3 linked regions of the Macaca mulatta genome follow. The protein of the gene in region 1 interacts with the protein of each later gene in a biochemical or structural test. Links are inferred from orthologs where the notes say so. Each region holds a gene or a part of one and is shown in the gene's direction. Other genes may lie near its edges. The genes, in order: CSTA, CTSB and CTSL.

What was found.
Region 2: the proteins of CSTA (region 1) and CTSB form a complex in vitro, tested with the Homo sapiens proteins (3 studies listed by BioGRID and IntAct, with this or other methods). The link is inferred for Macaca mulatta from reciprocal best matches to the Homo sapiens genes CSTA and CTSB.
Region 3: the proteins of CSTA (region 1) and CTSL form a complex in vitro, tested with the Homo sapiens proteins (2 studies listed by BioGRID). The link is inferred for Macaca mulatta from reciprocal best matches to the Homo sapiens genes CSTA and CTSL.

The regions. Positions count from the first base shown.
Region 1 is NC_133407.1:161,426,958-161,430,555, reverse strand, and holds part of CSTA (cystatin-A), read left to right. Parts: intron 1-2,318; coding exon 2,319-2,420; intron 2,421-3,598. UniProt on the Homo sapiens protein: This is an intracellular thiol proteinase inhibitor. Has an important role in desmosome-mediated cell-cell adhesion in the lower levels of the epidermis.
Region 2 is NC_133413.1:9,446,684-9,450,333, forward strand, and holds part of CTSB (cathepsin B), read left to right. Parts: intron 1-931; coding exon 932-1,080; intron 1,081-1,484; coding exon 1,485-1,670; 3' UTR 1,671-2,421; exon of another isoform or gene 2,422-2,434; intron 2,435-2,665; exon of another isoform or gene 2,666-2,769; 3' UTR 2,770-3,650. UniProt on the Homo sapiens protein: Thiol protease which is believed to participate in intracellular degradation and turnover of proteins. Cleaves matrix extracellular phosphoglycoprotein MEPE. Involved in the solubilization of cross-linked TG/thyroglobulin in the thyroid follicle lumen.
Region 3 is NC_133420.1:118,468,559-118,472,678, forward strand, and holds the start of CTSL (procathepsin L), read left to right. Parts: upstream 1-1,299; 5' UTR 1,300-1,500; intron 1,501-2,774; 5' UTR 2,775-2,784; coding exon 2,785-2,910; intron 2,911-3,214; coding exon 3,215-3,337; intron 3,338-3,437; coding exon 3,438-3,584; intron 3,585-3,768; coding exon 3,769-3,993; intron 3,994-4,120. UniProt on the Homo sapiens protein: Thiol protease important for the overall degradation of proteins in lysosomes. Plays a critical for normal cellular functions such as general protein turnover, antigen processing and bone remodeling.

The DNA.
Region 1 (3,598 bases):
CCATGTCCTAATCCCTGGAACCTGTGACTAGGTTCCTTTACACAGCAAAAGAGACTTTGCAGGTGTGATTAAATTAAGGCTCTTGAGATGGAGAGGTTATCCTGGATTATCCAGGTAAGCCCATGCAACCACAGGGTCTTTATTAGAACTATACCCAAATACTGCACTCTAATTAGTATATTGTTTTCCACAGGGGTATAGGTCAGCAATTCTGAAATTATTTTATGTATACGCTAGAACTGAACAAATAGGCAAATACATTGCAAATAATAAGAACCAGGATTCTTCCTCAGCGTTTGAGAAAGGAGTTATAATAAGGAAACGGGAAAAGCTAAATAAGTCCTGTGGTATTTGATTTTTAAAATTTTATCTATTTATTTATTTATTTTATTTTATTTTATTTTATTTATTTTTTTTTTTTTTGAGGCGGAGTTTCACTCTTGTTGCCCAGGCAGGAGTGCAATGGTGTGATCTCATCTCACTGCAACCTCCGCCTCCCAGGTTCAAGCGATTCTCCTGCTTCAGCCTCCTGAGTAGCTGGAATTATAGACACCCAACACTGTGCCCGGCTCATTTTTGTATTTTTAGTAGAGAAGGGATTTTATCATGTTGGTCAGGCTGGTCTCAAACTCCTGACCTCAAGTGATCCACCCACCTCGGCCTCCCAAAGAGCTGGGATTACAGGCATGAGCCACCACGCCCGGCCGTGGTATTTGATTTTAATCAGAGGAAAAAATATATATATGTGTGTGTGTGTGTGTATATACATATACATATACACACACACACACACATATATACACATATATATATACACACATGCACATACACACACATACCCATACACACACATATAAAATGACACACACATAAATGTGTGTATATGCACACACATACAAATGAGTAAAGATGTGTGCACATGTGTGTGAGTACACATATTATTTTGTAGCCCTTTCCATTGAGTGGGCCTAGAAGCAATGACATCTAGTAACAAGAGACACAGCACCCAAATCTTGGGTCTTAAATACCATTCTCCAATAAAAGGAGTGGGGACTCCTTGGAGAAATAGTTGATTCCAGCGAGGAGGCAAGGAAACTTCAAGATAAACCTGGAACATCTGACTCTACTTGTGTAGAGTCAGAAAGTTAGGAAGTGCTTATAAAATGATAGAGGTGTGTTGAAAGGACACGGGCATCAGGTGAAGGAGCTCCCAATGGCCAAATCTAGGACATTTGAGTAACAAAATAAAGAGTAATGAATTGTAATCCACAGAGTAAAATAAATATCCATGAGTCATATTAACATAAAATAAGTAATTGACTACATGAAGAGAAGAGAACAGCTCTTCCTTACAGTAGAATTGCAAATAATAAATGTACAAGAAATTACTTTTTAAATTACCATTTGGCCAATACCACAATTAATCATTGTTGTGGGCAAGAACCGTCAATGGATGCTAAAATTCATGAATGCAAGTACAGCGAGAAACAAGACTCCTCACAAGACACTAACTAATTACAAAGGGAAAAAAATGGTAACTTTACAGTGGAGAAACCTGGCAGACATCCTAAGTGATCAAAATTAACATCACCAGTAATGAAATGTAGCTCCTGATAGGATGCACTTAAGCACAACATCACTTTTGTGCTATCCTTACAAAAATGTGTAATACTAACATAAGAGGAGATCACACAAACCTAAACTGAGGGACATTCTACCATTTAACAGGCCAGTATTCTTCAAAAACATCAAGGTTGTGAACAACAAAGGAATGAACCCAGATTGGAGCAGAAAAGAGACATTTTCAGGATAACTGGCAAAATTCTGATAAGGTTTAGAGACTACTTAATAGTGATATACCATGTTAATTTCCTGATTTTGGTGATTATACTATGTTATGTAAAATGGCAAAATTAGGGGAACTGTAAATGATATAAGAGAATTCATTATACTAATTTTACAACTTTTAAGTCTGAAATTATTTTAAAATAATGTTTTAATCAAGTAGTAATTATTGCTCTACTGATTTTTGTTAATCAAAGATATATATAACTCTTAGAGTTTAACAGTCAAAATGCTCCTATATTGCATTACCACACTGAGTTTATGTGAATTCAGCCTAAAGCAACAAAATTTGATGTTTTAACCTATGTAATTGTATTAAAATAGGTGTTTTCTATTGAAATAATAAAAATAGCTCATAGATTTCATTACCATCTTTGAAGACTTTTAGGAGGATGAGGTTCCCAGATGTGTACGTCACATAGATGGAGTCTAATATAGCTTTGATTATTTGTTTCCTCTTTTCTTTTCTTTAGGTTAAACCACAGCTTGAAGAAAAAACAAATCAGAGTTATGAAAAATTGGAAGCTGTGGAGTATAAAACTCAAGTCGTTGCTGGAATAAATTACTACATTAAGGTTAGAGTTCAGTACCTACTTTAGCGCCAAAAGATCTATTTCTCATTTTATGTAAAATGTTCCCTGATTTCCCTACCATATAATTGCTTCCTTACAGTTGTCCTAAATTAAGATGCCTAGCATGATTCCTTCCAAGTGGTAGACTCTCAAATTTGGTAAATGATGTGATGCCATTTTTTTTCTTGTGAATTCAGAAAGCTTTATTACATTGATTCTTGATTTCTGGAAATTGTATAGAAAAAGATTTCAGAACAGTTCAGGGCATGCTGGATTTGTGGCTGTGCTGCTTCTTAGGTAAGGAGGGAGGATCACGTCTCATCTGCCTGAAGGCGTGGGGCTGGACCACATGGTATCTTGAAGCCGATTCCACCTCAAAGCTGTATGATTCTATATGTCTAAATTAAATAAATTAAAGTAACGACTCAAATCATTAGCTGGGAAAATAATTTAAACCTTTTTTGTCCTTTAAATAAGCATTTTGATTAATATAATGTAAATATTATTTTGTAATTCAAATTAGTAGATTTAACTTATGGCACTCTAGGTATAGTTTAAAGCAGTGGAGTAGTTAAAATAGTTTAAAAGTTAATTATATAGCTCTGTCAGAAAATTACACGATGCATTGATCCAGTTCTAATTGAAGTTACCAAGATGAAACCAACTGAACAAGTCAACCATGAATATTTAAGAGCCATTTTTGTCCTTATGTATTAAGAAGATGATAATTCTGATTTTAAAAATAAAAACAAATATTAAAGTATGTTTACTTAATCTTTACTTAACCATTCGACCAGGGCACAGTGTGGCTTATTTCTCTTTAACAAACAATTCAATTAAAATATAAACATTTTAAAAGACGTTTTCAGCAAAAAATAAACATAAGTAAGTGGAGCTAGTCAGCTTAGCATAAGAAAGTTTCAGTACCGAGCTATGTATATGGATCAGCCCTGTTCTGCCAAATGTGAGCTCCTAGTAAAGACCAGGTCACATGTCACAGGGAGCTTTGACCAGGTCACGGGGAGACACATGTCACAGAGGACCCTGCTGTATCCTCAGAAAACAATGGCACCATTTCCTCCATTTTCAATCTGATTTCTTCATGGCTGGAAAAGAACGTTTTCCTGTTAAAAATGATTATGTGCAAAGATAGGAAGCATTCCATCAACATTAGAATATTT
Region 2 (3,650 bases), on another chromosome or scaffold:
TTGCATTGCTTTACCAGCATGTTCCCGTTAAAACGGCAGGCCTTTTGTATCTGCACTGGCTGGCACATTTTCTTCATCTTTGTCTTTGCAAAGGCCTAGATCATGCCTCACACCAGTGGATGAACACGCAGGGACCTTGCCCTGGGCAGTGCTGTAGGGACTCGAACCAAGGAATCTGGACAGTCCCCATCCCCAAGTCCTGTCTTAGAAATCCCTTGCTCCAGATGAACGGTCTTTGCTGACTGCATCGATCTCTTTAATATTTTGCTAGATGGGAAACTCCAAAGCTCTCAGCTCTATATAAAACAACAGTTTGACAAAGGAGGATGATTCTGGCAAGAAAAAATGACTGTAAAGATGGTAGTTCTTAGCACAGTCCTTGCCCATATTATTAAAAGATGTGTTTCCACTTTGATAGTGATTTCCCTACCACAGGAGACTGGTTGGGGAGTCCTGAACCCCTTAGCCGGTATCTTTCTCATCAGCCAGCACTGGCCGCCACCAGCCCGCCCTTCTCCCTCACCTCTCCAGGGTGTACCTGGAGCAGCTGTTAAAACTCTTTAAGCCGTGTAACCCTTCTGACAAACCCTTACTTAGATGGAATCCCAGTGTATAGAGCAGATGAATCTGTCACCTAACATTAAATGTTTTACAAACTAGAATGTATTAGAAATTCTATTTTTAAAGACAACCAACAAGCACATTTTGTAGGAATCTATTTTAATATTTACTCAACAGATTTGAGTGTGTTGGGCCTTCAGAAATATATTTAATATTCCCCAGTGTTGTGGTAACCCTGGAGCCTTCTGATGGAGCAGCAGGGTCCCTCTGGAAGCTGTTTCTCCTGCCCGGAGGGTGACCAGCGGAGTGTGGGGGGTACTGTGGGGTGCGGGCCAGTGGCCTGGTCTTGGTCTCAGCCGGTTCTTTTCAGGTGTGTACCAACACGTCACCGGAGAGATGATGGGCGGCCATGCCATCCGCATCCTGGGCTGGGGAGTGGAGAACGGCACACCATACTGGCTGGTTGCCAACTCCTGGAACACTGACTGGGGTGACAATGGTGAGTGGCGGCCCCTTCCTGTCGAGAACAGGGAATTGTGAGCCACACACAGTGCCCGTCTCGGCTTTCTCTGTTCTACCTGCTGCACAGCCTCAAACCCTAGACCTAAGGCCAGGCTGTGAGCTCCTCCTATGTGCCAGGCACCCAGGAGTTTCCTTTTGCTGCAAGGGCAGACCCCGAGCAGCTTCAGAGCCCACGCCTGCCACAGTTCCCACAGCATCGCGCCAGATGCCGTGATGGGGGCGGTGACGGGGCAGGAGGGTTGTCAGTGGAGGTGTGCCCCACAGCTGCCTCCAGAAGCCTCATGGTGCTGAGGGCTATGCTACTGGGCAAACAGCAGGAGCTGCCAGGGATTGGTGGTTACTCCCAGGTCTTTTAGGGATGAGTCTGAATATATTGATTGACCCTTGTCACACTTAAAAAGCACCTTACTTTTTATTCCCAGGCTTCTTTAAAATCCTCAGAGGACAGGATCACTGTGGAATCGAATCAGAAGTGGTGGCTGGAATTCCACGCACCGATCAGTACTGGGAAAAGATCTAATCTGCTGTGGGCCTGTCCTGCCAGGCCTGGGGGAGTTTTCCCTGAATACAGTCAGGGATCGGGGTGAGATGGGGGTAGAAATGCCTTTTATTCTTTGAGTTCACGTAAGATACAAGTTTTAGACAGGGCTTGAAGGACTGGATTGGCCAAACCTCACATCAGCCATCAGAGCTGTCTTCCAAGGGGAGACATCCCAAATCCTGGCTACATCCCAGCCTGTGGTTACAGTGCAGACAGTTAGGCCATGTGAGCCACTGCTGCCAGCACAGCACGTCCTCCCCCTATAGACCAGTGCCACAGGGAGTGCCTGCTGCCCCACCTGACTGTGGCCCCCTCCCCGATCCATCCATCTCCAGGGAGCAAGACAGAGACCCAGGAATGGAAAGCGGAGTTCCTAACAGGATGAAAGTCCCCCCATCAGTTGCCCCCAGTACCTCTAAGCAAGTAGCTTTCCACATTTGCTATAAGATCAGAGGAGAGATGGTGTTGGGAGCCCTTTGGAGAACGCCACATTCTCCCAGACCCCCTGCATCTATCGAGTTTGCAGTGTCACAACTTCTCTGATCTTGTGCTCAGCATGATACTTTTTTAATAGAAGTCTTCTCTTTTGTGCACTCTGCTAATCATGTGGGTGAGTGAGTCGAACAGCTGGGAGCACCTGTGCTAGTTGTACAGATTGCCTCCTAATGGCGCGGCTCAAAACGAAACCAAGTGGTGAGGACTTGTTTCTGACCCACTGGTCTCTACCACCACAAGGAAGCTAGTTTAGGAGAAACCAGCTTTTACTGTTTTTTAAGAATTACTGCTGGCCGGGCGCGGTGGCTCAAGCCTGTAATCCCAGCACTTTGGGAGGCCGAGACGGGCGGATCACTAGGTCAGGAGATCGAGACCATCCTGGCGAACACGGTGAAACCCCGTCTCTACTAAAAAAATACAAAAAACTAGCCGGGCGAGGCGGCGGGCGCTTGTAGTCCCAGCTACTTGGGAGGCTGAGCCAGGAGAATGGCGTAAACCCGGGGGGCGGAGCTTGCAGTGAGCTGAGATCCGGCCACTGCACTCCAGCCTGGGCGACAGAGCCAGACTCCTTCTCAAAAAAAAAAAAAAAAAAAAAAAAAAAAAAAAAAAAAAAAAAAAAAAAAAAAGAATTACTGCTTCACCCTGTCAAGTTAACAAGGAATGCCTGTGCCAATAAAAGGTTTCTCCTTCATCTTGAAATCGACTCTGATGGGATCTCAGAGATCATTTGTCACTGCCTATAGACTTGTGGCTGCCGTCTATCCTCATCCCTGCAGAGAATTACGTCCTGGAACTGCATGTTCTTGCGACTCTTGGGATCTCATCTTAACTTCTCGCTGCCTCAGCCATGTTTTCAACCATGGCATCCCTCCCTCTTAGTTCCCTGTCGTCCTCGTCAACCTTCTAAGTCCTTGGTAAGCTTGCCCTTGCTTAAGAACTAACAACACAGCTGTGCTCTGTTTGTTGTTGTTGAGAGAATCTCTGTCTGTCGCCCAGGCTGGAGTACAGTGGCGCCATCTTGGCTCACTGCAACCTGCGGCCTCCTAGGTTCAAGTGATTCTCCTGCTTCAGCCTGCCGAGTAGCTGGGATTACAGGCACTCACCACCATGCCAGGCTACTTTTTGTATTTTTAAGTAGATACGATATTCACCATGTTGGCCGGGCTTGTTTCAAACTCCTGGCGTCAGGTGGTCCACCTGCCTCGGCCTCCCAAAGTGTTGGGATTACAGGCGTGAGCCACCATGCCTGGCCTCTCTTTTTTATCAGCCACAAATCCAGTAGCAGCCTGAGGATTCAGCTCATAAAATAGGCCTGGTGTCTTGGTGATCTCACATAACCAAGATGCCATCCCGTGGAGAACCACATCCCCCTGGATGCCCTCCAGTCTTGGTTTGGGCTGGCGTCAGAGCCTGTATACAGTATTTTGAATTTGTATACCACTGGTTTGCATTGCTGGTCAAGAACTCCAGTGCTTTGCATAGCCCTGGTTTAGAATCCTGTTACAGCAGTTCTTGGAAAGAACTGTGCAGA
Region 3 (4,120 bases), on another chromosome or scaffold:
GGATAAACAGTAGTAATGGTTACCCAACGTGAACGTACTCAATGCCTCTGAATTCAAAATTGGTTAAAATGGTACTTGTTACGTTAGGTATATTTTACCACTTAAAAAATTATCGGTGATTGTGCTTCTAAAAGAGTTATCAGTTTAATCTTCAGTAGAACTCAACTGACAAACAGAAATACACAATGACTTCATTTTTCACAAAGTCAAAATATGCATACGAAAAGGTTATGGGGGAAAAGGCAGAGGTAATTATTTTTTCCCCGAAAGGTATTTTCTACGACGAATGTTTTTATGTAATAAAAAAATAAAATGACAAAAGTTTAGAATGTTTGTGGGTTTTGTTCGTTAAATGCTTAATTATATAAATTAATATATACATTAGATTAAGATACATATTTTTCCTCTATCTACAACATTTCTGCATTCTCTGTATCTTAAATCCTGACATTAAATGTCATTAAATTTCTTAAATCTCAAGAGAACGACTTGGTTACCAAGGAAGATATAATCCATAACCTAGAGAGTGGGCGAATAAAAGCAGCTTCTAATGTTATCAACTGCTTTTCTCCTGTCAACCAAATGTTTCTGTAAATAACTCCTTTCTGTTGGTTTTGGGAAAGACGTGGGAGAAAGAAGAATCTCTGAATGGAGGAGTCTGGAAAGGATGCTTGACAAAACGCCCGCGCTCTCTGGAGACGCAGCCAGTCTTCTCCCTCCTAGGGTCTGGTCTTGACGATAGCATCTCGTGTTTTGGGGACGCCTTTCCCTACCAGATTCTTCTAAAGCCCAGCTGCACCCACCCTTAAGTGGGAGATAAGGCTTCTGCCCGCGGGCTCTGCGTTCTTCCACCCGGCCCCACCTTTGCTGTGGACTAAACAGGAGCCACTGGACTAGAGTACACTGGCTCTCGGCTATGCGGACCAAAGATTCCAGGACTAAGGAAAAGCTAGGTTAGGCTGAAAGTCCATACTGGGCTTGCTGTAAACGTCTTTTCAGGAGCCACCTGCCCAGTGCAGTAAGTCGGGTACTTAGTTGATTCGAGCGCTCCAGGGAGACGCCCGACCCTACTCTGCGCAGCCTCGGGGTACCAGCTCCGCTTCCCCCAAGTCCACTGAGGCAGGCGCGCCCCGCTCTGGGACAGTCAGTAAACAAGCCACGAACAGCGCCAGGGGTCAGAGTACCCAGAGGCCCCGCCCAGCTGCCGGCACAGCCAATCGTAGCGCAGCCAGGCGGTGGGGCGGTGCCGGCGGAGCCCAGACCCGAGGTTTTAGAGGCAGAGTCGGGCGAAGCTGGGCCAGAACCGCGACCTCCGCGACCTCCGCAACCTCAAGAGCGGCATCCGTGGAGTGCGCCTGCGCAGCTACGACCGCAGCAGGAAAGCGCTGCCGGCCAGGCCCAGCTGGGGCCGGACAGGGACTGGAAGAGAGGACGCGGTCGAGGAGTTGTGCACCAGCCCTGGCAACGAGAGCGTCTGCCCTGAGCTCTGCCGGCCTTAAGGTGGGGAAGCGGGGGAGGGCAATTAAGGACCCCGCGGAAGCGCGGAGACCACGCAGGCGGGGTCCCTGGTTGAGCGGGCAGGCTAGCCTCCGAGCCGGGTGGACACAGGTACCGCAGCCAGGCCGCGCCGCGCCGACTCATGGCCTGGCCCGGTCAGACAGGGAAGCTCAGTTCCCGCACGCCAGACAGCGGTGCTCCTGCTGGCGTCACCGCAAACATCCTCTGACCGCTGCAGCCTGTGTGTGGCGCAGGCGTCACGTCCCCGGCCTTGCCACGCCTGGAGCCCTGGCAGCTGGCTGCGGGGCGCTGGCTTCCCGCGTGCGGCCATATGACCCCGTCCCTGATTTAGGGGAGCAATTTGGGGTGTCGGCAGCACAGGCCCAGGTGAGTGAAGGAGGGAGCAGTGTGTGCTGTCCCTCCCAGTTTTTCCTGGGAAAGCATTTCAGAAGGGTTTCTTTTAAGGAGAGGTTGGGGCAGGCACGCTGGCTCACGCCTGTAATCCCAGCACTTTGGGAGGCTGAGGTGGGCGGATCACCTGAGGTCAGGAGTTCGAGACCAGCCTGGCCAACATGGTGAAACCCCGTCTCTACTAAAAATACAAAATTAGACAGGCAAGGTGGCACACGTCTGTAGTCCCAGCTAGTCAAGAGACTGAGGAAGAATGGCTTGAACCCGGGAGGCGGAGGTTGCCGTGAGCTCAGATCGCACCATTGCACTCCAGCCTGGGCGGCAGAGCAAGACTCCATCTCAAAAAAACAAAAACGGAGAGGTTGGAAAACATATCTCAGCTTCAGCTGTTTGTTAGTCAAGAAGATGTGTGAAGGCCTCCTAATTCTTGGGGATCTCTTTGTCACTACTTGGGAATCCCACCTTATCATTATTGAGGTTTTGCCTGGGCACAAAACCTGGGATTTTTGCCATTGGTACAAAACCTGGATCAACTGTTTCCTGGTTTCCTAGTTGTTGCCTTAAGCTTCTCACCCACAAGGTGCTTTCATACCTTTCTCATAACCTAAATTATCATCCCATAAACTGTTTAAACTCTTACAGCTCTAGCCGGGCTGCTTTTCATTTTGGTGGGTCCATCCAGCACCTCCATGTGCCCTGTTTTTCTCCAGGCACATCCTTGGCCTCTTCCACAGTCCTTGGGTAAATGCTTGGAAGGATAATTTAAATATTTTTATTCTACGATGGTGGCCCTAATTTTTCAAGGGGCAGTAAGATTGCTTTTTAGGATCAGTCTAATCAGATCCTCATTTCTTTTCCCTTCCTAGGTTTTGAAACATGAATCCTACATTCATCCTCGCTGCCTTTTGCCTGGGAATTGCCTCAGCTACTTTAACATTTAATCACAGTTTAGAGGCACAGTGGACCAAGTGGAAGGCGATGCACAACAGATTATACGGCATGGTTAGTGGTATCTGAAACTTCCCCAGAAAAAATAGTCTTGGCTGTTGAGAAGTTTTAGACAGAGAGTAGCTTCTAGAGGCCAGCTTTCACCAGTAGCCTAATATAATAACCTAATGGCACCGATTATGAGCACAGTATGGGCATTCATCCCTTTTCTGTCTCAATTTGGGGAACAGCATCCCCAGAGGTGTCAAGCCTTCCCTGGCCGTGGTTTCTCTTCCATCTCTGTCTGCAGAATCACTTGGTGAGCATGAGTTGGGTTTTAGGTAGAAATAAAGAGCATCAGTTACATGTTTGCCTCTAGAATGAAGAAGGATGGAGGAGAGCAGTGTGGGAGAAGAACATGAAGATGATTGAACTGCACAATCAGGAATACAGCCAAGGGAAACACAGCTTCACAATGGCCATGAACACCTTTGGAGACATGGTGAGTGTGCTGTGGACCGCCGAGCTCTGTGCTTCCTCCCCTCAGTTCTTTACTAAAGTAATCTCTTGCTTTTCAACATTTTATTTCCTTTTCCTTGAAGACCAGTGAAGAATTCAGGCAGGTGATGAATGGCTTTCAAAACCGTAAACCCAGGAAGGGGAAAGTGTTCCAGGAACCTCTGTTTTATGAGGCCCCCAGATCTGTGGATTGGAGAGAGAAAGGCTACGTGACTCCTGTGAAGAATCAGGTGAGACAGTGTCAGGGCCAGACCTCCCATCTTCCCAGGAAAGCCAAGAAGTGATTGACATCTTTGTTTTGGTAGACTTTAAAGCGATGTGCGGTTCACTTTTTAACAGTATTCAGATGTGTGAGCTGTTGTCAAAGTCTTACTATTTTTTTGTGAATGACAGCTTTTTTTATTCCCTCTTCAGGGTCAGTGTGGTTCTTGTTGGGCTTTTAGCGCTACTGGTGCTCTTGAAGGACAGATGTTCCGGAAAACTGGGAAGCTTGTCTCACTGAGTGAGCAGAATCTGGTAGACTGCTCTGGGCCTCAAGGCAATGAGGGCTGCAATGGGGGCCTAATGGATTATGCCTTCCAGTATGTTGCCGACAATGGAGGCCTGGACTCTGAGGAATCCTATCCATATGAGGCAACAGTAAGTGGAGCTCCTTGTCGTCATTCCAGCGCAGCTTTTGGGAGGTGGAACACTTTTCAGAGATAACAGATACCTTTTTCGGAATTCATGTATTAGGGCTGGGTGGGGTGGCTCACGCCTATAATCC